Linked DNA regions of Macaca fascicularis. The protein of the gene in region 5 interacts with the protein of the main gene of each other region in a pairwise test. Links are inferred from orthologs where the notes say so. Each region holds a gene or a part of one and is shown on either strand. Other genes may lie near its edges. The genes, in order: SLC41A2, GALNT2, NRIP3, TMEM11 and KASH5.

Region 1 (4,916 bases), on a different chromosome or scaffold from region 5:
ATCCTGTTAGGTTGGTTTGGTCTGAATATCCATTACCCCCGATGTTTCCTCTCAGTACTTTTCTGTCCACTGACCATAACACTGCTCCTTGGCTATAAATTCCCATTTGCCCATGCCATATTCAGAATTGAGCCTAGTCTTCCTCCCACACTGCAAAATCTCATTCCATGGTCCCTTCACCTATCACAGTCGTCCTGAATAGACTTCTTTACCATGCTTTAACAAGTATCATTGGATAACTTTTTTCTTTATCAACAATCATATTAGATCAGTGGAAAATTGAGTTTGAATTCCTGGGAGGTAACATCAGGACTTTTTAGGTGTTTTTTGCTATGAAAGACCTGATGGTGAATTTGTGTGCACTCAGAAATTAACCATGAAATAAGCACAGCAGCATTCATTTAGCTGTAAGTGGCTCTTAACCTTTGTGCCATCAAAAATAGTTATTTACCACCCACACGTGAACATAATTGTAATAAAAACTACACTGCACAAACTTAAGAAAACAAGATTCTCCACTTTACTGAGAAGTTAAACATATAAAAATTTGAGTAATTTGTTCTTGCCATTTATTGTTAGTTTGTTCAGCTGGCCACCAATATAAATTACTTGCAATTAACGTGATAACAGGGATTTTCAAATTGAGCATAGAATATATGAAAGTACCAATTAAGGGTGGTCTCTCTTGACTCCAGTCAGGAATATGCCTTCTGTAGCCTTGCTCAAAACACCAGGGCAGTAAATGTAAAGGGGCAGTAAGATGTCCAAGAATGAACACATAGGGTATTCTTACAGACTGAAGTGGCACTTATTCAACCTTTACCCAATAGTAAGCATTAAGTTTTTCAGTATCAGATTGGCTGGAGTTTTTTCAAGTCAGTGCCAGTATCCAAACCTATTAATAGAATTTTTTTCCATAAAGGAAGAATAGGGCCGGGCGCGGTGGCTCAAGCCTGTAATCCCAGCACTTTGGGAGGCCGAGACGGGCGGATCACGAGGTCAGGAGATCGAGACCATCCTGGCTAACACGGTGAAACCCCGTCTCTATTAAGAAATACAAAAACTAGCCGGGCGAGGCGGCGGGCGCCTGTAGTCCCAGCTACTCGGGAGGCTGAGGCTGGAGAATGGCGTGAACCCGGGAGGCGGAGCTTGCAGTGAGCTGAGATCCGGCCACTGCACTCCAGCCTGGGTGACAGAGCAAGACTCCGTCTCAAAAAAAAAAAAAAAAAAAAAAAAAAAGGAACAATAAAACTCAATACAAAGCCAAGCAACCCAGACTGACCGCGGTGGCTTATGCCTGTAATCCCGGCACTTTGGGAAGCCGAGGTGGGCAGATCACTTGAATTCAGGAGTTGGAGACCAACCTGGCCAACATGGTGAAACCATGTCTCTACTAAAAATACAAAAATTAGCCAGGCAAAGTGGTGCATGCCTGTAGTCCCAGCTACTCGGGAGGCTGAGGTAGGAGAATCGCTTGAACCCCGGAGGTGGAGGTTGCAGTGAGCCAAGATTGCACCACTGCACTCCAGCCTGGGTGACAGACTGAGAGTCAGTCTCCAAAATAAATAAATAAATAAATAAGTAAATAAGTAAAGAAAAAGAAAAAGCCAAGCAACCCAATTAAAATATGGGTAAAAGATATGAACAGACATTTTCTCCAAAGAAAATATATGAATGGCCAATAAGCACATGAAAAGATGCTCAGCATCTCCATTCATTAGACAAATGCAAATCAAAACCACAAAGAGATACCATTCCACACTCACTAAGATGGCTATAATAAAAAATAACCAGTAAAAAGTAACAAGCCTTGGGGAAGATGTGAAGAAATTGGAACCCTCATACACTGCTTGGTGGGAATGTAAAATGGTACAGCTGCTTTGCTTGGCAGTTCCTCAAAAAGTTAAACACAGAGCAATTGCCCTCCTAGGTATATATACCCAAGAGCACTGAAAACACATGTCCACAAAAACCTGTACACAAATGTGCATAGCAGCATTACACACAATGGCCAAAAACTGGAAACAACCCAAATGTTCATCAACTGATGAATAAACAAATGTGGTACACTGATACAACAATATTAATATGCTATAAAAAGTAAAGTACTGATACATACTACAACATGAGTGAAACTTGAACACATTACGGTATGTGAAAGACGCCAGACCAAAAAGCCACATATTGTACGCTTCCATTTATATGAGATTTCCACAACAGGCAAACCCACAGAAACAGCAAGTAGATTAGTGGTGGCTAGTGGGGTGGGGTCAAGGGGAAATGAGGAGTGACTACTAAGAGAGACAGGGTTTCTTTTGGGGATGATGATCTGGATAGTGGTCATATTTGGAAAACTTTGTGAATATATTAAAAGCCACACTTTAGAAGAATGAGTTTTATGGCATGTGATGTATATCTCAATTTAAAAATTGTCCACTACAAAAAAAGATGACATATATACGTAATATACATATCAATGTATATAGGTAGCACATACATACGTGTCATCTCTCTCTATAAATGAGCATTTGGGCTTTTAAAATTGAGATATCCTCCATATATATAAAGAGAAGAATGAAAGAACAGGGTGACGGGGCCCTCGCGGAGCCCTGAACAGGCATATGGGGTGTGCCCGAGCCAGCCTCGCAGCATCTCCATCCCAGCTCACCTTCAGCCATCACTCAGTCAACCACCCGCCGCCTGCCCCTGCCTTGGGCGCCCGAGACCGCTCATCCGCGGCGGCCGCGGAGCAGCTTCCCATCGCCCGATGTGGGGCAGGCGCGGGGGCCTGGGCTCGGGCGCTACCCGGCGGCCCCGGGAGGCGTCCGCAGGGGGCACGGCGACTCGGGCGGGACCGCTCCCACCGCTCCCCGCGCCCCCGCCGCCGGGTCCCGAGCCCAGGCCTCTCGGCCCCACCTCCCTCCTGCACCTGGGATGCGCCCGAACGCGGTGCAGCGGCTGAAGCCGAGACTTCCCCTCCACCGTCACCTGTGCCGGAGCGCGGCGGCGGCAGCGGCCGGTGTGAGGAGAAGGGTCCCCGTCTCCTCAGACCGGACCGAGACACCCGGGGCGGGGGATGGAAGGGGCATTCACCTAGTCCCCAGCACCGGTGGTGGCGGGGAGGACAGCGGCTCCCAGCCCACGGCTCCTTCCTGCTCCCGCGCCTCCTCGCTCCGCGGCGTCTCAGAGCTGACAGCCCGGCCGCCGGCGCCCGCGGCCCCCTGACTCCCTGCCGCCCCGCCCCCGCGCGGCAGTCCCGCGCAAGCGCAGCCGCGCCGCCGCCGGGGAAGCCCGGGCCTTGGTGATGTGGCCCGCGGGGCGGCGATCTGGAGCGACAGCGCCGCCCCGCCCGGACCCCGGCCGCGCCCTGGCAGACAGCTGTCGGGAACGGGGGCGCTGGACGACGGCGAGGGGGCAGTTTTCTGGGGATCCTGCCCAGGAGAGAAGGGCTGTGGCGTCCTTCCGCAGCCCTCTTCCCCACCAGCCCACGCACGCCCACTTCACCGCCTGCTCCAAGGTCCGAACCCCCGAATCCATGACTCATGATTTCTCTTCTCAGACCAGCGGCCTGTTTTTGGCTGAGGTCACATTTCTTGCAGACAGGGGTTAAAACCGAAGCACGTGTCTTTCGGCCCGGCAGCGCATAGTGTGGGCAGTGCAGGAGCCGAGAAGGGCAGGGACCACCGCCGAAGGGGTGAGGTTTAGGGCAGCCCCGTAGCACCCTCCCCGTGCCAGGCAGGTGTAGGCGCCAAGCACACGGGGCGCTGAGGAGTTGGCTGGGGTGCCAGGCTTTTCAAGTTTCCCCACACTTGCTTTTAAACCTAGATCAAACTGATCCAAAGTCTGCAGGTAAATCCAAGAGCTCATTTATTTTATTTACAAAACTATTTATTGAGCATCTACTGTGTATGATTCAGGGAATGAGACACACCCCAGGGATACTACAGTGAACAAAAGCAAGGTGTTGGTACGAAGCCTGTTACTTTACAAATTACACAGCTATTGCTAGGATTGATTGGTGGCTCATGCCTGTAACTTCAACACTTTGGGAGGACCAGGCGAGATGATCGCTTGAGGCCAGGAATTTTGAGACCAGCCTGAGTAAACACAGAGAGACCCGAAGTAGCTAGGAGACTGAGGTAGGAGGATCGCTTGAGCCCAGGAGTTCAAGGCTGCAGGGGGCTGTGATCGCATCAGTGCACTCCAGTCTGGGACACAGAGTGAGACCTTGTCTCTAAAACAACTCAAAATGACACAGCTAATGATACTCTTTTCCTCAAATCAAAGCCTCTACCAATTCCAACCCACACCAGTGATTTAGTAGCAGCTTTTTCTGGTGCTGAAGGACACCGGCATACATTTATCCAGGTTTTGTTTTTTGTTTTTTGTTGTTGTTTTTTTTCCCCCCTTATCCTTTGCAATCAGACTCTGAGCTTTAACCTTCACCTTCAGGGTGAAGGGTGCGTCTGTATCACTCTTGGCCATCTGCAGTCATGCTTTTTATAATGGTTCATCCTGGTGTTCCTCACTACCTAAAAATGAAAGTATAATTGCAAGGAATATGGAAAAGCAATGTTTTGACTGCATTTCCAACTGGTTTTTGTTCTGGTTGTTTTTTGAATTACAGATCATTAGAAAGTAGCTGCTCTTGAAAGTCTGGCAGAAGTTCCACCCGGTAAGTGTTCCTCCCCTGAGTGTGTAGTCTTTCAAGATTTCTACACAAAGCATATACAGAAGCCAGCCTCTCTTGGTTTTGAAAATTCTTCCACCATTTTTTTCTGAGCGAGCTGGTGGTTTCTACTGTCCTTCAGAGCATTACATGGCATGTGGCAGGCAACCTTCTACTTATCTTCTTCATTCAGTACCACAAAGTAGTACTTTGGAGTTATGTTAAGCTTCAAGTTGGAATTCAAATT
Region 2 (4,998 bases), on a different chromosome or scaffold from region 5:
CTCCATCCACTGCCAGCATACCAAAGCCCAGGGGAGACTTAACATGCTTAAAATTTTAAAGCATTTAAGAAGCTCAAAGGAAAGGAACCCTTGAAGTGCAAATCATCAATTTAGGAGGAAAGAGCAAAATATGGGGGGAAAGGGTATGGACACAAATGTAAATGAAATGTAATTTTAAACAATATTTTGCATAAACTGCTTTAACAGACATGTCCTCAACCTGGGTGTTGAGTCCTGAGTTGTGCGGCAGTGCCTGAGATTGGTTCTGAGCGCTCCCTCCTGCTTAGTTTATTAAACCTGCAATCTGAGGTGAGCTGGCTCTCTGGGTTTTGCCAAGTGGAGAATAACAGTTCTGTGATGAGTTACTTAACAGGCAGGGCACACAATGACAAGCCTGGGCTGGGCTGCTGAAGCAGCAGAAATCCTAGTTGGACTCCCCTCAAACGATCCCCAAAGCCCCATACTGCAGCCTTGTACCCTGTGAAAAACGTTAGGATGTGCAGAAATTGGCTAAATATGGAATGAGAGCCCTGACTTGAACAGTATGAGGCAAGAGAAAAATATAGGTCCGCTTATCTCTAAAAAACTATAGCGAGCTTTTAAATTCTGCCTTTCTGTGCATGGCCCGCTATCTTTTTTTATGTCCATGCTTTACAAGCCAAACAAACCACGTGCTTTTTTTTTTTTTTTTTTTTTTGGTATGAGAATGAACTAAATTTAGAGACACTTCTAGTGTCTAAATCCATGGAAACAATTGGGGAGGAAAGAGGACTACACGATTTTCCTATAGATCAGGCATTTTCCTATAGATCACGATTTCCTATAGGATCAGGCATTCCTATAGGTCAGCCCTATAGATCAGGGCTCTATTTACCCCCTTCAGAAACCATCTTCCCAGGGTCCACCACACAAAGTTAATGAGTCCTCCACTGCAATTTCAAAAGCTATTGCATTTACACACCTCTTCCTCAACTGACAAATCACTAAAGCATTCTAAGGGCTAGGATTAAATTTTATGGTTCGTTGACAGAAAGAATAGAATCCCAAATCACCAATCTATGTGTAATTGTTCATTTCCCCCACTTTTTCTACCTGGTCTCCGTACCTTTCCATATTGCCACCAGGAATTCTTTAAAAAAATAAAAAAGAAAGAAAAACTAAGAATCACACACTTCAGGAGTGTCGGAAGCCTTCTGCATGGAAGACCCCTCACACCATCCAGCAACTGAAGCCCACCAGAGTGAGGAATCAGCCTCCGGGAGGGGAACAAGCAGGTTTGCTCTTTCTAATCACGTGTACTAATGAAAGTGGCAGACTAAGGAAAGAGAAACGCCAAGGGTGGCTTAATGTGTTTGGTTTTCTTTGCATGAAAGGCAGAAAGCTTTGCCAGGTCTCACCAGCACACCAGGCTATGCAGAGTGGCCAAGGCACAGTTTACTGGGAAACAAAGTTTTAAAAAATCATTCCAGTTTGACACGATTATATCTTTGAATGGACTGCACGACTTTTGATGGCTGCATGTTCTTTGCTGTTCAAGAATAAACCAAGTCTTCGCATACATATACTACCTATACCATTTTTTTACAAAAACAGCGCTAACAGTACAGTGTCAGCTCAGAAGCTAGGCCGATTCAGCACGTGGAAAGACGGCTTTATTTCACAAATCCATGTAATTTACCAGAAACCAAATAAGGCACTCATTCCACCTAACATCTTCGGCTATGAATGAATGAATGAAGCAAAGAAAAAGCCTCTGAAGCAGCCAAACCCCAGCGTGGACATTTAGGGGTCTGACTTCAGAACTGAAGTCTGTTCATCTAGTTAGTTCCCTCTGGCTTGTTTCAGCATACCACTCTCTTGTTCCAACCCAATCACCCGTTGTCCATCTCCATTAACTCAGAATTTCCTGGGTTTGCGGTGACACTAAATGTCACAGTAACGAGGAGGAATTCGGAAAAGAGAACGCTGCTTTCAAAGCCAAGGAGCCAGTAAAACACTACAAACGTCCCCAGCCGGCATGCTCCAGCCCACAGCCCGACGCCCTGCTCTCCCGGCCGGCCGCAGGACCGCACCGTCCCGGCTCCTCTCAGCGCTCAGCATCCTCCCGAATGCCAAGGGCCCGGCCAGCCGGAGCGGCGGGACGAGGGCGCGGAACCGCAGAGCGGCTCACACGGTCCCCATAGCCGGATCACTCGGCCCCCGGAGCAGCTTAGAAACACATCCATAGAAGAAGGATTCTCCCTGAAGCGGGGAGTGGGGATGGAAAATGCAAGCGCAGGAGGCCACGTCCGGCTCCTCGCGAGGGAGGGCCGGGTGCCCGGTTGGGCAGAGGGTAACACTGGGACCGCAAGGGGACGGCCGGGACTGCCCTCGCTCGGGGCGCAGGGGCGCACTAGCCCCCGGATCGCACGGGCCCTGGGGCTTTAGTTGGCACGGGAGTGGCCGCCCCTGCCCCTCAAAAGGTAAAGGGCAAAGAAGGTGGCAGAAACAGGGAACCCACGCCCCGCGGAGTGACAGGGGGAAAGGGACGAGGATTTTCAGCCGCTGGTATCAAAGGGCTGAAAAGAAACTTGGACTCCTCTCTCCCGCTGTACATGACGCGTTGGAAAGGCGGTCGCCTCTCTCTCCTCTCCTCCCCACCCCCTTTGTGTTTCCCAACACCCCCATCCCTAAACTTCCAACGGCAGGGGATGGGGCTCCCGGCGGCCGGACAAGACTCGAATTACGACGAACAGAGAGAGGGGTGACGTCCACGAGAGGGGGCGGAGGGGTGAGAAAGGCTGCGGGGGCCGCCCTCTCCGAGCCCGGCGTGCGCAGAGGGGCCGGGTGCACCCGTGCCCTGGGCACTTGGCGCGGAGGCCCGGGACGGGGGCGGGCGGCTCGAGCGGAGGTCTGGGCGGAGGAGCGTAGGGGCGGCGCGGAGCGGGCAGGGGACAGGGGCGCAGGGTGGGGGTGGGCGCAGGGGCCCGGGCGCGGCAGGGCGCTCCACTCACCTTCCTACCGGCGCCGCCGCCAGCTCCCCCGGCCAGCGCGGAGCCGCCCCCCGAGTACATGTAGTAGGCGATGCCCAGCACCCACAGGAAGGCGAAGCAGAGCAGCATCCGCGAGCGCCGCCGCATTCTCCTAACTCGGCCGCCGGCGGGCCGCCGCTGCTCGCGAGTGCTGCCTGGGCCGGCCGCGGGCGCGGTGGGGGCCGGGGGAGGAGCGGAGGAAGGGGAAGGGCGCGGCGGCGGCTCCTCCTCCCGCGCGGGGCTACTGCTTGGCGGCGGCGCGCACTCGGCGCCCGAGCTCCGCCCCGGGCCGGCGGCGCCGCGCGGCGCCCGAGCAGGAAGCGGCGGCCTCGGAGGCGGCGAGGGGGGTCAGGGAGCAAAGGGCGACCAATCGGCTGCGGCTGCGGGGGCCGGGGCGCGGGGCGCGGGAGGGGACTGCCGCGTCTCCATGGCTGCAGCACGCCGGGCTCAGTCGGGAGGGCCTGGGCGCCGCCCCGCCCCCGGCCGGCCTCCAGCCCGCCCGCCCGCCTCCTCAGCGTGCTCCCCCCGCCGGCCGCCCCCTCCCCCGTGAGTGACAGGTGGCTGCCCCGGGACCCGTCTGGAGCGCGCGCACACGTGGGCACAGAGCCTTGCTCACGCACACGGGGCCTCTCGGTTACGGGGGCGGTAGTGGCCCCGGCGCTTCCTCCCCAGACTGTCACCTCTTCAGCCTTGGTCTTTGGGGCCACCTCAGACCCTTAACGGGCTTGCTCTTATTGGTCAACTGACCTGAGTTTTTGGTGCAAACCGCCCGCCTGAACCCGACTTTGCTGCTGCTTGCTGCAGTTTTCTCACTAATCTTGCAGCAAAACATTCCTGACCCGCTGGTATCGGTTTTATTTATCTATTTAGGCAGATGTGGAGGTTTTGAGGTAGGAACTGAGGAGGTAATTTTCAAAAGAACATTTTTCTGTGGGTGACAGAGCTATCAATGGTAGAGTTGTTCTTTTCAATAAACGCGAAATGAAGAAGAAAGAAAGCAATAAGATATTGTTTAAAATCTTTTCATTCTTATTCATTGCTTTCTTTAAAAAGCACACCAAGCATCTTTAATGATACAAGAAAACGATCTGTCTTGTAACAGAATCTGTTAACCTTGGTGATGCCCTTGTAACACGCAGTTTCCAGTGTTTCCTAAGGAAGAGAGAAATTTTACTTAGAACTTGATATGTTAAATGTTGCAGGAGCTTCTCAGAGGATAATGGCAGCTGCCTGAATATATCCCTACCCATATCCTCAACGAAACAAAAACAAACAAGCCTTCAGCATTACTTAGAGAGAATACCATGAACTGAACATTAAATTACTTAAGTAGAAGAAAGAGAAGACATCAAATTCCAACTGAGCTCCCTCCACTATTACCAATGACTTAAGTGAAGTGCAGGGTTGTCATCTCTTTATAAATAGAAAGTCCAACACCAAGAACTAAAAACTGAACAGAGGTCAGGTGCCTTGTTGATCAAGGGAAGAGATTTGAAAGAAAATGGGACAAGAGGTGGGAGCCTTGAAGGAGCCTTGCTTCTGGGAAAAAGTCAGATAAATACAAAAAAGATAATGTCCTTCAGAGGCCTGGCAATGAAGGGAAAGAAGGAAGTGAGAAGGGAAAATTACAAATCCTGCAGAAATAAAAAAAACCGCCAGTCCCCTCCCCAAACACCAACATTATCTATTAAAAACTGCATTTCAGTACACAGATAAAAGAGAACACTCTTGAACTGGGAACCCTGCCTCAAAATGACTAGTAACAGAAAAACATCAAATCAACTGCATATAAAGATTCTGCAAAAAGAAAACAGAAAAATAATCACATTTCTGATGATAAAAAAAAATCATAACATTTTCGCTGATGAGAACCCCCACAATAAAAACCATGAAGCATAAGAAAATTGTAACAGCACATATCGAACTGAACGAAGTGTCATGTATTTGTATACACATACACACACACACACACACAGCTAGAATAAGA
Region 3 (4,709 bases), on a different chromosome or scaffold from region 5:
GTAAGATGTGACTGCAGCTGCATTCCAGCTGGGCAATAAAGTGAGAACCCGTCTCTTAAAAAAAAAATCAAATATAATATTACTCACTCATATCTCTGGTTTTAGTTCTTAATCTAATACAGAATGAACAATATAAGATAAAAGGATAAATGCAAAAGGGCCAGACAAAAATATAATTTCCACAGAAGACTTTGTATCAGCCAACTCCATATACACAGAAATAGGCAAAGGCACTTTCCTGGGGCCAAGACAACATGACCCCCTTTGATTTCCTATGGTTGCCTTCTGCCAGTCCTAAAAGGGCTGGCAGGCTGATCAAGCAGTGAACATTACAGAAACAGCATAGTAAGAGGTAGATAATTCAGAAATCCCAGCAGTATAATTTAAATGTTTGTTACTAGTTTGAGGGAAAACAACCTACAACCTTCACAAACCCAAAAGTCAATTACAACTAAGTTTTCCTCTCTCTTATCTCCCTCTGATGCTATCCTCTCCCTTTTCTTGGACCCCTTCTGTCAAGATTATACTATAAACTACTTCAAGTAAGAACTATTCAATTAATTTTCGCATCCTCCAAATTTCCCTTGCAGTGAGAGAAAATTGAGTCAACACTAGTCTATCCCAGATGTATTTATAAAGTAAAACAATAATAATGTACTTCTAAGGTCACTTCTAAGATTGTACTGAGGCTGCAACAACAGTTCCAAGAGTTTAAGCATGCTGCCTCACCCCAGTGCTTGCGGCTCTCCTAGCCCTACCTCAGTCTGCCTCGGTTTCTGTAATCTGGCTGTTCTGTGCAATCACTTGTACACTGTAGGTGTGAAAACAGTGAGAGTGGGAAATCAACTCCATGACGGTGGGGCACAGAAAGCATGAACCATGATTCAGAGCCTCACAGTCAACTGCCATGTGTATGTGTCATACTCAAGGCAATATCCTGCTTCTTGAGGCTCCTTCCTCTTTGCAGCCTGCTGCCTGTGCTCTATGCTATCAGCCCTTCGTGACTCAACTGAGACAGACTGGAGTCAGAAAAGTGGATGGAATTCCTACACAGCATGAAGTAGTATAAGAAATCCTAGGCAGAAGGAAGCTAAGGTAGCTCTCAGGGCTAGGAAACTCCTTGACAACCAAGGACAACCAAATCCAGCATTTAAAAATTCCATATTTTAATTCTTCTCTTAATATAATACTTCCTTCTTTATTGATTGACGAGCATTCTAGGAACTAGGATAGGATTATTTGGCCTGAAGGAAAGAATATTTCTCGAACCTGATTTGTTAAATGAATCAAGATTGCTTTAAAGTAAAAGAAGGGAAAAGAGAGTTACCTCTTTTGCAGGAGCACATTTCAATCACTCATCACTCTGGGTTAGCATAAATCAGGGAAACTATCCTGCAGCTTGTGCAAAAAGCAAAGCAAAACAAAAAAACACAACTTTCAAAAAACAGAGCAAGATAACTGAAGTAGACAAACCCTGCAAAGAAGCAACTAATGGCAGGGAGGAGAAAAATTATACTGGTACCTGTGTGTCATTAGAGCTGTTAAATTAAAAAAAAAAAAAAAAAAGGAAATGGATGCAGAAGCTCTGCCCTCCTGGGGCCAGAAATGGCAATTTCAATGAATTAGAGCTAACAACCACATCCAGAATTAAACATTTCAAAAGCTTAAAATAAAAAATACTAGAAAAATTATGCAGAGCACCTATTTCATTTGTTAAAAGACATTTAATTAGCATTTCATACATTACCACCCAAATGAACAAAGCGATTGTGAAATTCAAGAAAACAATCAAACTACAAGAAAATTCCAGATAAAACTACAAAGTTAAACATAAACTTGACCCAGGACCACTACAGAGGCTGAGGGATGACAGATACAGTTCTTTATATTGGTCACCCTTTCATTCTATAGAAAGAGGACAGTACCATTTTTTACCCCAGGGCTCCTGTCCTGGGGTGCTTCTACTTAATGCCAAGAAAAACCGTGCTAGAAAAAAAGACTGCAACCACCCCAGCCCCAAATGCACACATTAGCTGGTCGGTAAGATGGAGCAGCCTGGCTTCCTCCCTCTACTCACTCCTTGGGGGCGGGGCTGGAAGAGGAGAATGATGAAGAGATGTTGGGGGTTCAGGAAACCTTCACATTCGACCCCTTTTCTCTCTCCCCACTCAGGATGGAAGGTCAAAGGTACATAGGACCAAAACTAGAGAAGTGGATTTTGCATAGGGGGACAATGGATTCAACAAAAATCTTCTGGATCTGGCAACTGTCAAAAAAAAATCCCTTTCCACTTCTTTCCCCCTCACACGAAGTCATTAGGAATCACCTCTGTCTGGGTCATAGAACCAGCCACACAGCGTAGGAGGCACAAGCCCCACGAACAAAATTCGGTATTAAGAATAAGGGGAGAGAAAGAAGACCCGAGGGCAAGAGGGCAGGGCAGGACCTCTTCCTTCCTCTGGAGAGGAGACATCCAGGGAGGAGATACAGCCGAGGGGAGCGCGAGCTGAAAAGCTAGGACGGAATCCCCACCAAAACCGCAGCAGGGGTGCTGGAAGGGGAGGAATCCGCGACGCAGCGACCGCGAGCCAAGGGCAGCGGCGGGCCGGGCGGTGACTCAGTGAAAGCCGCAACGGCCGGGCCTCGGAAGACCGCGGGCGCGAAGCCGCCGGGGCCAGGGCAAGAACGGCGGCGGGGGCTCACCGTGTCCTTGGACGAGCCCAGCTTCTTGAGGCCGTCCAGGGGCAGCAGGTCGGCGGAGTCCTTGTGGATGAACTGCACCGCCTGCTTCATCCGGCGCTGCTGTCGCAGCGACGCCGCCTCCCGCATGTCGGTCTCCTTGCGGCCGCCCTCAGTGAGAAGCCCTGAGTAAAACATCCTTGAGACGCCGGCGGCCCGGTCGCCCGCGGCTCCCCAGCAGCCTCAGCCTCGAGCTCGAGCTCCTCCAGCGCCGCAAGGGCCCCGCGCCGCGCCTTTTATAGCCGAGTGTGACGCCGCGTGGAGCAGCCAGTGCGCGCGCGGGGGGCGGGGCCGGCACAGAGTCCACGTCCCGCGAGGCTCCCTGGCGTCCCGCGTGCCCTGCTCACCCGGTGGCAAAGCGGGAGAGGAGGCGGCGGCGCTGGTGGGAGTGACCCGGCGGGCCGAGAATCCACAGCGGCCTCTTCACCCAACCGCCCCCTCCTGCGTGGGAGCCCCGCATCCCTTGGACGGGTGTGGGCTCTGGGGCCCGATGCCCTGGCAGCCCCGGCCATCTCCGCCGCTGGCCGTGGGTCCCAGCTCACCTGTCCACGCCGTGGCCGACCCGGGGATAACCGACAGCCAGGCCATGCCTCGAGTCCCGCCTCCCGCGCCGCTGCTCGGCTTCTCGGAAACGCACCTCCACGCCGCCAGCCGGGGCTCCAGCGCCCACCGCCCGGGCCCGGAGGACTGGCGGCTCCCTCCGAAGTTGGGAGCGGTCGGGATTTTTCCAACTTCAGGTCGGTCCCCACCCACCGGGCCACGTGACTGGGGAGGGGGCAGCCGGTGCAGGCGTGTGTAGGAGCCTTTCGGGACCTCCTCCCCCGGGCACCCTCTGCCTGCAGCCGGGCACCCGGCCTGCGTTTCCGAGCCGGGGGAGCAGGTGCGGTCGGAAGCCCGCGGGCGGGCATAGAACAGGGGAATGGCGAGGGTCCCCCACCTCCGCGGGAGCGCACGCGGCTGCGAGCCCTACATCTGCTCTCCGACCAGAGAAGCACCTGTTTTTCTCAACAAGTACTAGGACTTACCATCTAAAGAATCATTCACCGTCCCTCCAGCGTCCTTAGTAGGAGCGATTGGAACCCGTTTTTCTTCTTGAATACATATTTTTAAGCCATTCTAATCAGGTTTCAGGCATCCTGGATTCTGGTCTCGACGTTGTGATTTGGCACAAACCACGTTTCCATTCTGGAAACCACAACAACCCCCTCCACCCCATCACACAGGAGCAGACCTGGATGAGAAATATGTGCACTCAGCAAAGAACCAATGATAAAAGTAACAATATCGACGCTTACTGGGCCTTTACTATGTGCCAGGTACTGGAATAGACACTTAAAATGTAGTATCTCATTGGATCCTGGCAACAGCTTGTATATTCTCATCACCCCCATTTTACAGGCAAATACCTGATACCTTCTGTCTGGCCTCCTGAATGCTCCCTAGTTCCATTCCAATCCGTTGTTCACTGTGCTGCCAGAGTAATCTTCTCAAACCATAAGCGTGATCATCTCACTTCCCTGCTAAGAGCACCTCAAAAGGCTTCCTATTGCTCTAAGAGAAACCCACATTCTTGCATGGTCTGCCTAGACCCTGCATATCCACTCTGTGCTTCAGCCTCATAGCCCTTCTTCCAGTTCCTTCCAGTCACCTGTTGCCAAATGGCCTGCCTTTGACTGTCCTGCTCCCTCTGTGTGCAGTGTCCCCTCCTACCTTCTTCAGGAAACTCCTATGCTTCTTCCAGACCTCAGCTCCATTATCATTTCTTTAGGAAGCCTTCTCTGACCTTCCAGAGAGGGTGAAGTCTCTCTAATTATATACTATGTATCTCTTGGGCATTTCACTTTCTGTGGGGGTAGGGGTAGGGGTAGGGGGGTACTGGTTGTTTAATTTGTCTCCCCCACTGATTGGAACCTCCAGGAAGGTGACTGAATCCGTTTTTTGCTTAGCATTGATGCCCTAATAGGCAGAGG
Region 4 (4,246 bases), on a different chromosome or scaffold from region 5:
CTGTAGTCCCAGCTACTCGGGAGGCAGAGGTGGGAAGATCGCTTGAACCCGAGAGGTCGAGGCTGCAATGAGCAGAGATCACACCACTGCACTCCTACCTGGGTGACAGCGCAGGAACCTGTCTCAAAAATAAAAGCTGTTGAATCCTGCCTGGGAGTAACAGCTGGCCTCTCCCTCACCTCTCCTCTCAGACCACATGGAAAAACTCCACCGAGGGCTTTAGAAGGCAACCCCTCCTTTCCCCACAGAAGCTGCTCGTGCAGTCTTACAGTAACAGCTCATCAGTTCACCCCTGGCAAGGCAGCCACGACACTGGCACACAGTCACAGGCGGCTTGGCAGCAACCCAAGTTTAGGAGGCTCTTGTCCCACCCGCAGCGAACTGATTTCTCCCCAGTGCATGCAGTTTAATGAGGGCCTATGATTGAATTAGGAGGCTTTGCCTTAGCCCAGCTTCGTTACAGTGACTTTTGCAGGATAAAGAGTTCCCTTTGCCCAGGTCCAAGCCAGTGCCTTTTATGAAAGTGGTTCCCACCCAGGGGGTAGGGCCCCCATGTTTGGGGGCACAGTCAGCCCATTACTAATGACTTTCATCTTGAATGTGGCCACATAAGATCGTTCACCAGTTGTTCATCCAGCCAGCATGAAACCCAGCCTGTTAGGTTTGCTTCTTTGTTTGCTGAAAGCTTTGAGCTGAGAGGAGTCTCAGTTGTAGGGAGGACCGTGATTGCCTGTTCTTTTTCCTTGAAGTTTACCCTGACAGTCGGATTTCCACCATCCTTCACTTGGAACTGCTCCCATCTTTGAAGGAGGCTGGAGGGAGTTACCTTCATGCTGGGCTGAGGGTGGCTTGTTATGAGTCTTCACTCGTCGCTCCCATGTTATGGCCGATGGCCAGGTGGCTCAGCTCCCCATGACTTTCCTCTGCACGGCAGCCAGGTGTGCGTGCCAGGACAGGCCGGGCGGACGGGACCTTCGCGTCTGTGCACACTGAGGGCTGTGCTTCTCGTTGGCCCCTAAAGGAAGCTAGTTCCTGTCAGAGCCTCAGGTAGATGGGCCACGCTGACCCTTGTGTGGCCTAGTACACTGTGCCAGAGCGTCCCAGTGGGAGGGGCATGGACTCCGGCAGGGGAGCAGTGACCAGCAGGTCCCTAGAGCCTCGTGTCCTTTAGTCAGATGAGTTTGACCGTCCTGGGGACCGGGGTGTGCTGAGGGAAGGGGCAGCTTTGCACTGAGGAGCATGGCTCTGCCCAGCCGGAGGAGCCATGAGTTGGAAAACTTGATCCAGCCTCAAGAGCTGTGTCTAGCAGTGTCCCTGTCAGGGCTCAGATCAAGACTTCTCGCGGATGAGCAGATAATGGAAAAGCAGGATGCAGAGTGGCGTTGCGGAGATGCAGAAAGATCTGTCTCAGCTGGCCGGGCGCGGTGGCTCAAGCCTGTAATCCCAGCACTTTGGGAGGCCGAGGCGGGCGGATCACGAGGTCAGGAGATCGAGCCCATCCTGGCTAACACGGTGAAACCCCGTCTCTACTAAAAAAATACAAAAAATCTAGCCGGGCGAGGTGGCAGGTGCCTGTAGTCCCAGCTACCCAGGAGGCTGAGGCAGGAGAATGGCGTAAACCCGGGAGGCGGAGCTTGCAGTGAGCCGAGATCCGGCCACCACACTCCAGCCTGGGCGACAGAGCGAGACTCCGTCTCAAAAAAAAAAAAAGATCTGTCTCAGCTGAAACCAGCCAAGGAAAAATGACAAGGCGTGGGTAGCCCTGTATTCAGGCCTGCCCGCCACAGGTGAAGAAGATTCTGCTTTGGGTGGGAAATTTGGACCGCAAGGCCTGAAACCAAGAAAAGCCAGAATGCCTAAAATGCAGCTTGGCCCACATGTCACTGCTGGAGCTGCCGCCAGGCTGCTGTCTGGCCTTGCTGCAGAGCTGCGCCTTCCATGTGGTGGATCTGCTGCTGCTTGGGGTCATGGCATGCACCCCAGTCCCAGGGGGAAAGCCCCTTGTGTGGTCTCTGTGGCTGTGTTTCTGATGCAAATGAGTGGCATTTGCCGGTGGGGCAGGGGCCTGGGCCTGCAGGGCCGGAATCGGTGGCATTGCTGGCTGGATGTTTTGAAGCCCCTCAGTTGACCCTCCTGCCCGCTACGTTTGGGGGCCGCTACTGTCCTTGAAGTGTCGTCTTTTCCTAAGTCAGGGAAAGGGTCGCTTTTCCTATGCAGTGGGCTAGTGTCCTGGGTCTCCTGTTCTCCCCTCCGCGGTGGGGAGGAGCAGGAGGCTGCTGCCATCCGGGAAGGGCACCCAGGGCTCGTGCAGCCCGGCCTCCCAGGAGAGCCAAAGGAGTTTGGATTTTGCCCAAGGCAGAGCTCTTCCATTGTGCCTCTGTTCTGTGGGCCCAGGATGACTACTTAGGAACCATGTGGAGGGCAAGGGCTTAGCATGATCTGTCCTGAGGCCTGTGGTTTGCAGTGAGAATCCTCCTGCAGTTGCCCTGATTAAGAGCGGCTCTCAGGCTGTTGGCCTCGTGCTGCCGTGTGCGCCCATGTGACTGTGCGAATCCTTCTTTCCCCTTTAGGCTCCTTTGCTGACTCAGATCAGTTGGTCCACAGCCTTAGGCTAACCACCAGGCCTGCGTTTGTTCTTGTAAACATCGAGGTACTCCTTTTCCTGCCTTTTTATATCTAAATTTTTTTTTTTTTTTGAGACAGAGTCTCGTCCTGTCACCCAGGCTGCAGTGCAATGGCACGATCTCGGCTCACTGCAACCTCTGCCTCCCAGGTTCAAATGATTCTCCTGCCTCAGCCTCCCGAGTAGATAACGGGGATTATAGGCATGCGCCACCACACCTGGCTAATTTTTTGTATCTTTAGTAGACATAGGGTTTCACCATATTGGCCAGGCTGGTCTTGAACTCCTGACCTCATGATTCACCCACCCCGGCCTCCCAAAGTGCTAGGATTACAGGTGTGAGCCACTGCGCCCAGGCTTATTTCACTATTTCAGGAAAAGTACTTTTTACTGATTGTCTTGTGTTGGGATCTGAAGGAGATAAGGACCTCAGGGAGATGTGCTCTCCGCAGTGCAGGCTCAGACCTCCCCCAGCATCGAAACACAGTTAAGTGCTGCTCAGCCTAATCATCCTCTCTCTCTCTCTCCCTCTCCCGCCCCCTCCGTCAAAAGGGTGAGCTTGTCGGCCACAGACTGCTACATTGTGCACGAGATCTACAATGGGGAGAATGCCCAAGACCAGTTTGAGTACGAGCTGGAGCAGGCCCTGGAAGCCCAGTACAAGTACATTGTGATTGAGCCCACGCGCATCGGCGACGAGACGGCCCGCTGGATCACCGTGGGCAACTGCCTGCACAAGACGGCCGTGCTGGCGGGCACCGCCTGCCTCTTCACCCCGTTGGCGCTGCCCTTAGATTATTCCCACTACATCTCCCTGCCCGCTGGTGTGCTGAGCCTGGCCTGCTGCACCCTCTATGGGATCTCCTGGCAGTTTGACCCTTGCTGCAAGTACCAAGTGGAGTACGACGCCTATAAACTGTCGCGCCTGCCTCTGCACACACTCACCTCCTCCACCCCAGTGGTGCTGGTCCGGAAGGACGACCTGCACAGAAAGAGACTGCACAACACGATAGCACTGGCCGCCCTGGCGTACTGTGTAAAGAAGATTTACGAACTCTATGCCGTATGATCTCCGTAGAACAGGGAGCGAAGCAAAAACCACCTGGCCCACAAGAGACAACAGAGTCTTCAGATCGCCACGGTCACGTTTCTCACTCTGTGAGGCAGCAGAGCCTGGGAAGGTGTTTGGCTTAATATTCGTTGTTTTTAAAAAAAATAACAGATCACGGGTGTACCCAGGGTTTTTCAGCTCATCACACTAAGATGTGGATTTCCATAACCCAAGAGGGGGGGGTCTGAGGCTGTGGAAGTCCGATCGGGCAGTGGAACGCTGATGGAGGCACACGCTGCTGAGGGGGTGCGGACGTGCTTTGGGGGAGGTCTTTAAGTCTATTGTTTAACTGTACCATCCAGAGCCCACCAGAAGCTATTGACCATTAAAATTATGAGAATTTCAACTCCCGCTGTTCTCTCTGTCCATGTCTGCCTGCAGCTGCTGCTGCACATCCGCTCTAGGTGGCGGCTTGTCCGTGGAAGCAGCGGGTGCTGTGGTAGCCACCCTGCCCCGTTCCTAGCCGCGGCCCAGTGTTACCAGTCACAGCGACGACAAGCCTAGATCCGAGG
Region 5 (4,246 bases):
ATAGTAGCCGGGCGCAGTGGCTCAAGCCTGTAATCCCAAGCACTTTGGGAGGCCGAGACGGGCGGATCACGAGGTCAGGAGATCGAGACCATCCTGGCTAACCCGGTGAAACCCCGTCTCTACTAAAAAAATACAAAAAAAACTAGCTGGGCGAGGTGGCGGGCGCCTGTAGTCCCAGCTACTCGGGAGGCTGAGGCAGGAGAATGGCCGGAACCCGGGAGGCGGAGCTTGCAGTGAGCTGAGATCCGGCCACTGCACTCCAGCCTGGGCGACAGAGCGAGACTCCGCCTCAAAAAAAAGAAAAAGAAAAAAAAAAAAAAGATGTCATAGTGAGCTTGCTGGTTTTTCTTAAAGGTACTTATATTTGAAACATAAATGCTTAATATATCCTTAAAATGTTAGCATAAACAACTTGCTTATTCCCTTCCTACGGTAGTACAATTTTAAATCACGCAATTCCTGAGCGTGTTTTCTAAAACAACAAAACGACACGAAAAGCCACAGTGCAATTTGTGTGTTTGCTTTGTTCACCTTTGTCTCCAACGCTGGCAGGTCAGTCCCTGGGGCAGGGGTGGTGTCTGGTCTGGCTTGTGGCTGGGTGTCCAGCACACAGTGTGCTCTCAATTAACATTTTCTCATCAAATGGGGAACAAGCAAAGGTGTGAGTGAATGGCTGGCCAGGGCGGCACCTGGCGCTCCGGGCCCCTTTCCAGCTCCTGGACTTCAGAGCTTTTCCTGTGCTCACCTGTCCCCCAGCTGGGGCTTCAGACGGAAACTCAGCATCCTCACTGGTATCATGGATGACTTCCTCCCACTGCCACACCCCACACAGAGGGTTGGAGAGACCAGCAATTGCCACTTCCTGTTTCTGGGACAGAAGGTGTTTCCGAGGTCAGGGAGAGCCATGTTAAGGTAGAAGACAAGGTCAGAGACAGAAACGGGTTTAGGTGTGTGGCTGAAAATAGGATGAGAGGTAGAAAAGAGCTGGTGTGGGGCTGGTGTGGGGAGTGGGCAGAAGCAGGAACAGGGGAGGGTTTGCTGCCAGGACCGAGGTCTGGGTTCGAGATGAAGTTAAGGAGTGAGATGGTCATGGAGGGAGACGAGATAGGGGTGAGTCACAGCTGGATCGGACTGGGGTCTGGCATAGGCCTGGGGCTGGCAGTGGGTTTGGGGTTAGGATCCGAGATAGAGTTAGAGAAAAGCTAAGGTTGTGATGGGAGCCTCTGGCAGCAATGTGGGTTAGGGCTAGGCTGGTGTGAGGATCAGAGTGGGGAGATGTTTGGAGATCCTGCCTTGGTGGCCTGCAGCTTATTCCAGGGGTGTTAGGCCCACCTGTCGAATGGCCTCGATCTCCAAGCCCAGCGATGGGGGCAGCAGCCGGGTCCAGCCCACTCTTCTCAGCTGGGCCCCTTCAGGTAGCCTGGCCACACAGGGAGGAGGGAGGAAGGCGGCCTTTGTGCCTGGGGGCCACTCAGTCGGCTCATGCTGGCCTCCCTTCCCTGCCCACCTTGGGGCTGGAGACCAGGGTGTCTCTGCTCTTAGGCTCCCCTCCTGCCTCCTCCTACCCTATGAAGTTCCACTCACTCATCGGGCCCCTCATAGGTCTGACTCAGCTGCTCCTCCAGGCGTGAAATCTCCAGCCTCAGTTCCTGCAAAGGAGGAAGTGGGGGGCACATCTGGCTCTCCATTTTTCCCATCCCTGGGCTCCTCTTCCAGGGTTCTTTCCACTTTCCTGACTACTTTGGCCTCCCCAGACACACACTGCCTGGGGACAAAGGGCAGAAAGCCATGACAGAATGTTAGGAAGCCAAAGAGAGACAGAGAGCAACAGGAATCCAGAAGCTAAAGCACAGGCCAAGAGGCCGGGAGCTGTGGCTCATGCCGGTAATCCCAGCACTTCAGGAGGGCAGATCACGAGGTCAGGAGATCGAGACCATCCTGGCTGACAGGGTGAAACCCCGTCTCTACTAAAAATACAAAAAATTAGCCAGGCATGGTGGCACGCACTTGTAGTTCCAGCTACTTGGGAGGCTGAGGCAGAAGAATCGCTTGAACCCAGGAGGAGGAGCTTGCAGTGAGCCAAGATTGTGCCACTGCACTCCAGCCTGGGCGACACAACCAGACTCCGTCTCAAAAAAGAAAAACAAAACAAAACAAAACAAAACAAAAAGCACAGCCAAGAAAATTAAGAGAAGGAAGGCAGAGGCAGTGATGCATGAAAAAATGAAAGACATAAATGGAAACAGACTCACAGACAGGCAAGGGAAACACCAGGGCTAAGAGACTGGTAAAGACCAGAGCCAAACAGAGAAGACTTGCCTAGGGAGACAGACAGCCTAGACCTAGAGGCAGAGACAGGAACCCACACGAGCCTGGCAGAGACACATAAAGATGAGGAGGGGAGGCTGGGCGCGGTGGCTCACGCCTGTAATCCCAGCACTTTGGGAGGCCGAGGTGGGCGGATCATGAGGCCAAGAGATCGAGACCATCCTGGCCAACATGGTGAAACCCCGTCTCTACTAAAAATACAAAAATCAGCTGGGCATGATGGCGTGCGCCTGTAGTCCCAGCTATCTGGGAGGCTGAGACAGGAGAATCGCTTGAACCTGGGAGGCAGAGGTTGCAGTGAGCCGAGATTGCGTCACTGCACTCCAGCCTGGTGACAGAGCGAGACTCTGTCTCAAAAAAAAAAAAAAAAAAAAAAGATAAGGAGGGGTATGTGAGAAGACACCCACAGAGAATGAAAGTGAATGGAAGGAACAGAAAAAAAGTGAAAAGGCAGATAGAGAAACAGAGGGTGAGACACACAGTAAGTCATACAGTCATACATTATGGATAGAAGAAGCAAGATGTGGCCACCGACAGAGAAAGAGCGATGAGGAGGAGAGGCAGCAAGTCCCAGAGATGGCAAAAGAGAAGTGGCCAGGGCCGCTGAGTTACCTGCGTCGTCACTCTGTATTCTTGCAAGGTCTGGGCCAGGCTCTCCACATGGCGAGTGCGCTGGGAAAGCCGAAAGCCAAATGAGACTGGGACCAGTTCCCCAAAGACATAGTGGGGGGTGGTGGTGGGGGGACTGGCTGGGGGGGTTAAGGGACAAGGGTGAGCTTGAGAGAAGAGCTGGGGCCCAAGGGAGAGCACCGGGCAGAAGGGCTTCTAGATCCCTGAGGGGTCACATTGGGACCTGGGGAATCCCTCCAATCTCTCCGCCTGCACATCCAAGGACCAGACCCAAGTAGGACTTCCCTTTCTAGACCAGGGGCAGGAAGTGGCTGGCGCACACGGAAGGCAAATCTCTTTCCCTCCCCGGGCTCCTCACCTCAGAGAGGATGGTGTCTCGTTGGCAAATGAGGTGTTCACACTCAAAGAGCTGCCGCTGCCAAGAAAGGAGCCGGTCCATCCATCCAACCTCCCAGGACTCCCCTCGGTCCTGCCCTCCGTCTGGCCTGCCCTGCTCTCCCGCACCCCGCCGATTCAACCTCCTGAGATGTTCCGGGACTTCAGGGATTTTAGGGATGCCTGGGTGGTCCTGGGAGTCTGACAGTTTGATGGAAGACCCTGCTCTCATCAGGCTGCAGTCACTAAAACCGGAAATGGGAAAAATGGCCCCAGGGTGGTGGAAAGTTGTCAGGCACTAGGAAGGAGTGGCACCTTCAAAGTGTCCTTCTCCATGGCCAGTTCCTGACTTCTCTTCTTCACTCCATCCCGCTCCGCCAGCAGTTTCCCATTCTAGAAGAAGGAATGGCGGGTCACATTCACTTCAGCAAATGGTGATGTTAAAATTAACAGCAGACATTTGCTAAACACTTGACTGATATGCATCAGGCCTCATGCTAAGCACTTCATGTTTTAACCCATTTAATTCCTCCCACCATTCTGTTGGGACCTCAGCTTTAATTTCTCTGAGTGTGGCTCCCCCATCTATAAAAATGGAGCGAGGCCAGGCACGGTGGCTCACGCCTGTAATCCCAGCACTTTGGGAGGCTGAGGCGGGTGGATCACGAGGTCAGGAGTTCCAGACAAGTCTGGCCAACATGGTGAAACCCCGTCTCTACTAAAAATACAAAAACACAAAAATTAGCCAGGCATGGTAGCGCAAGACTGTAATCCCAGCTACTCAGGAGGCTGAAGCAGGAGAACTGCTTGAACCGGGGAGGCAGAGGTTGCAGTGAGCCAAGATAGCACCACTGCACTCCAGCCTGGGCAACAGAGCGAGACTCTGTCTCAGGAGAAAACAACAACAACAAAA

What was found.
Region 1: the proteins of KASH5 (region 5) and SLC41A2 interact in binary tests that used the Homo sapiens proteins (3 or more experiments, as listed by UniProt). The two-hybrid records come from large-scale screens. The link is inferred for Macaca fascicularis from reciprocal best matches to the Homo sapiens genes KASH5 and SLC41A2.
Region 2: the proteins of KASH5 (region 5) and GALNT2 interact in binary tests that used the Homo sapiens proteins (3 or more experiments, as listed by UniProt). The two-hybrid records come from large-scale screens. The link is inferred for Macaca fascicularis from reciprocal best matches to the Homo sapiens genes KASH5 and GALNT2.
Region 3: the proteins of KASH5 (region 5) and NRIP3 interact in binary tests that used the Homo sapiens proteins (3 or more experiments, as listed by UniProt). The two-hybrid records come from large-scale screens. The link is inferred for Macaca fascicularis from reciprocal best matches to the Homo sapiens genes KASH5 and NRIP3.
Region 4: the proteins of KASH5 (region 5) and TMEM11 interact in binary tests that used the Homo sapiens proteins (3 or more experiments, as listed by UniProt). The two-hybrid records come from large-scale screens. The link is inferred for Macaca fascicularis from reciprocal best matches to the Homo sapiens genes KASH5 and TMEM11.

Annotation. Positions count from the first base shown.
Region 1 is NC_088385.1:111,887,211-111,892,126, forward strand, and holds the start of SLC41A2 (solute carrier family 41 member 2), read right to left. Parts: upstream 3,195-4,916; 5' UTR 3,094-3,194; intron 1-3,093. UniProt on the Homo sapiens protein: Acts as a plasma-membrane magnesium transporter. Can also mediate the transport of other divalent metal cations in an order of Ba(2+) > Ni(2+) > Co(2+) > Fe(2+) > Mn(2+).
Region 2 is NC_088375.1:19,043,410-19,048,407, forward strand, and holds the start of GALNT2 (polypeptide N-acetylgalactosaminyltransferase 2), read right to left. Parts: upstream 3,196-4,998; 5' UTR 3,120-3,195; coding exon 2,994-3,119; intron 1-2,993. UniProt on the Homo sapiens protein: Catalyzes the initial reaction in O-linked oligosaccharide biosynthesis, the transfer of an N-acetyl-D-galactosamine residue to a serine or threonine residue on the protein receptor.
Region 3 is NC_088388.1:56,829,005-56,833,713, reverse strand, and holds the start of NRIP3 (nuclear receptor-interacting protein 3), read right to left. Parts: upstream 2,950-4,709; 5' UTR 2,878-2,949; coding exon 2,704-2,877; intron 1-2,703.
Region 4 is NC_088390.1:20,622,528-20,626,773, reverse strand, and holds the end of TMEM11 (transmembrane protein 11, mitochondrial), read left to right. Parts: intron 1-3,175; coding exon 3,176-3,692; 3' UTR 3,693-4,080; downstream 4,081-4,246. UniProt on the Homo sapiens protein: Plays a role in mitochondrial morphogenesis.
Region 5 is NC_088393.1:57,356,016-57,360,261, reverse strand, and holds part of KASH5 (protein KASH5), read right to left. Parts: intron 3,727-4,246; coding exon 3,649-3,726; intron 3,637-3,648; exon of another isoform or gene 3,566-3,636; coding exon of another isoform or gene 3,374-3,565; coding exon 3,317-3,373; intron 3,001-3,316; coding exon 2,941-3,000; intron 1,650-2,940; coding exon 1,585-1,649; intron 1,421-1,584; coding exon 1,333-1,420; intron 869-1,332; coding exon 746-868; intron 1-745. UniProt on the Homo sapiens protein: As a component of the LINC (LInker of Nucleoskeleton and Cytoskeleton) complex, involved in the connection between the nuclear lamina and the cytoskeleton.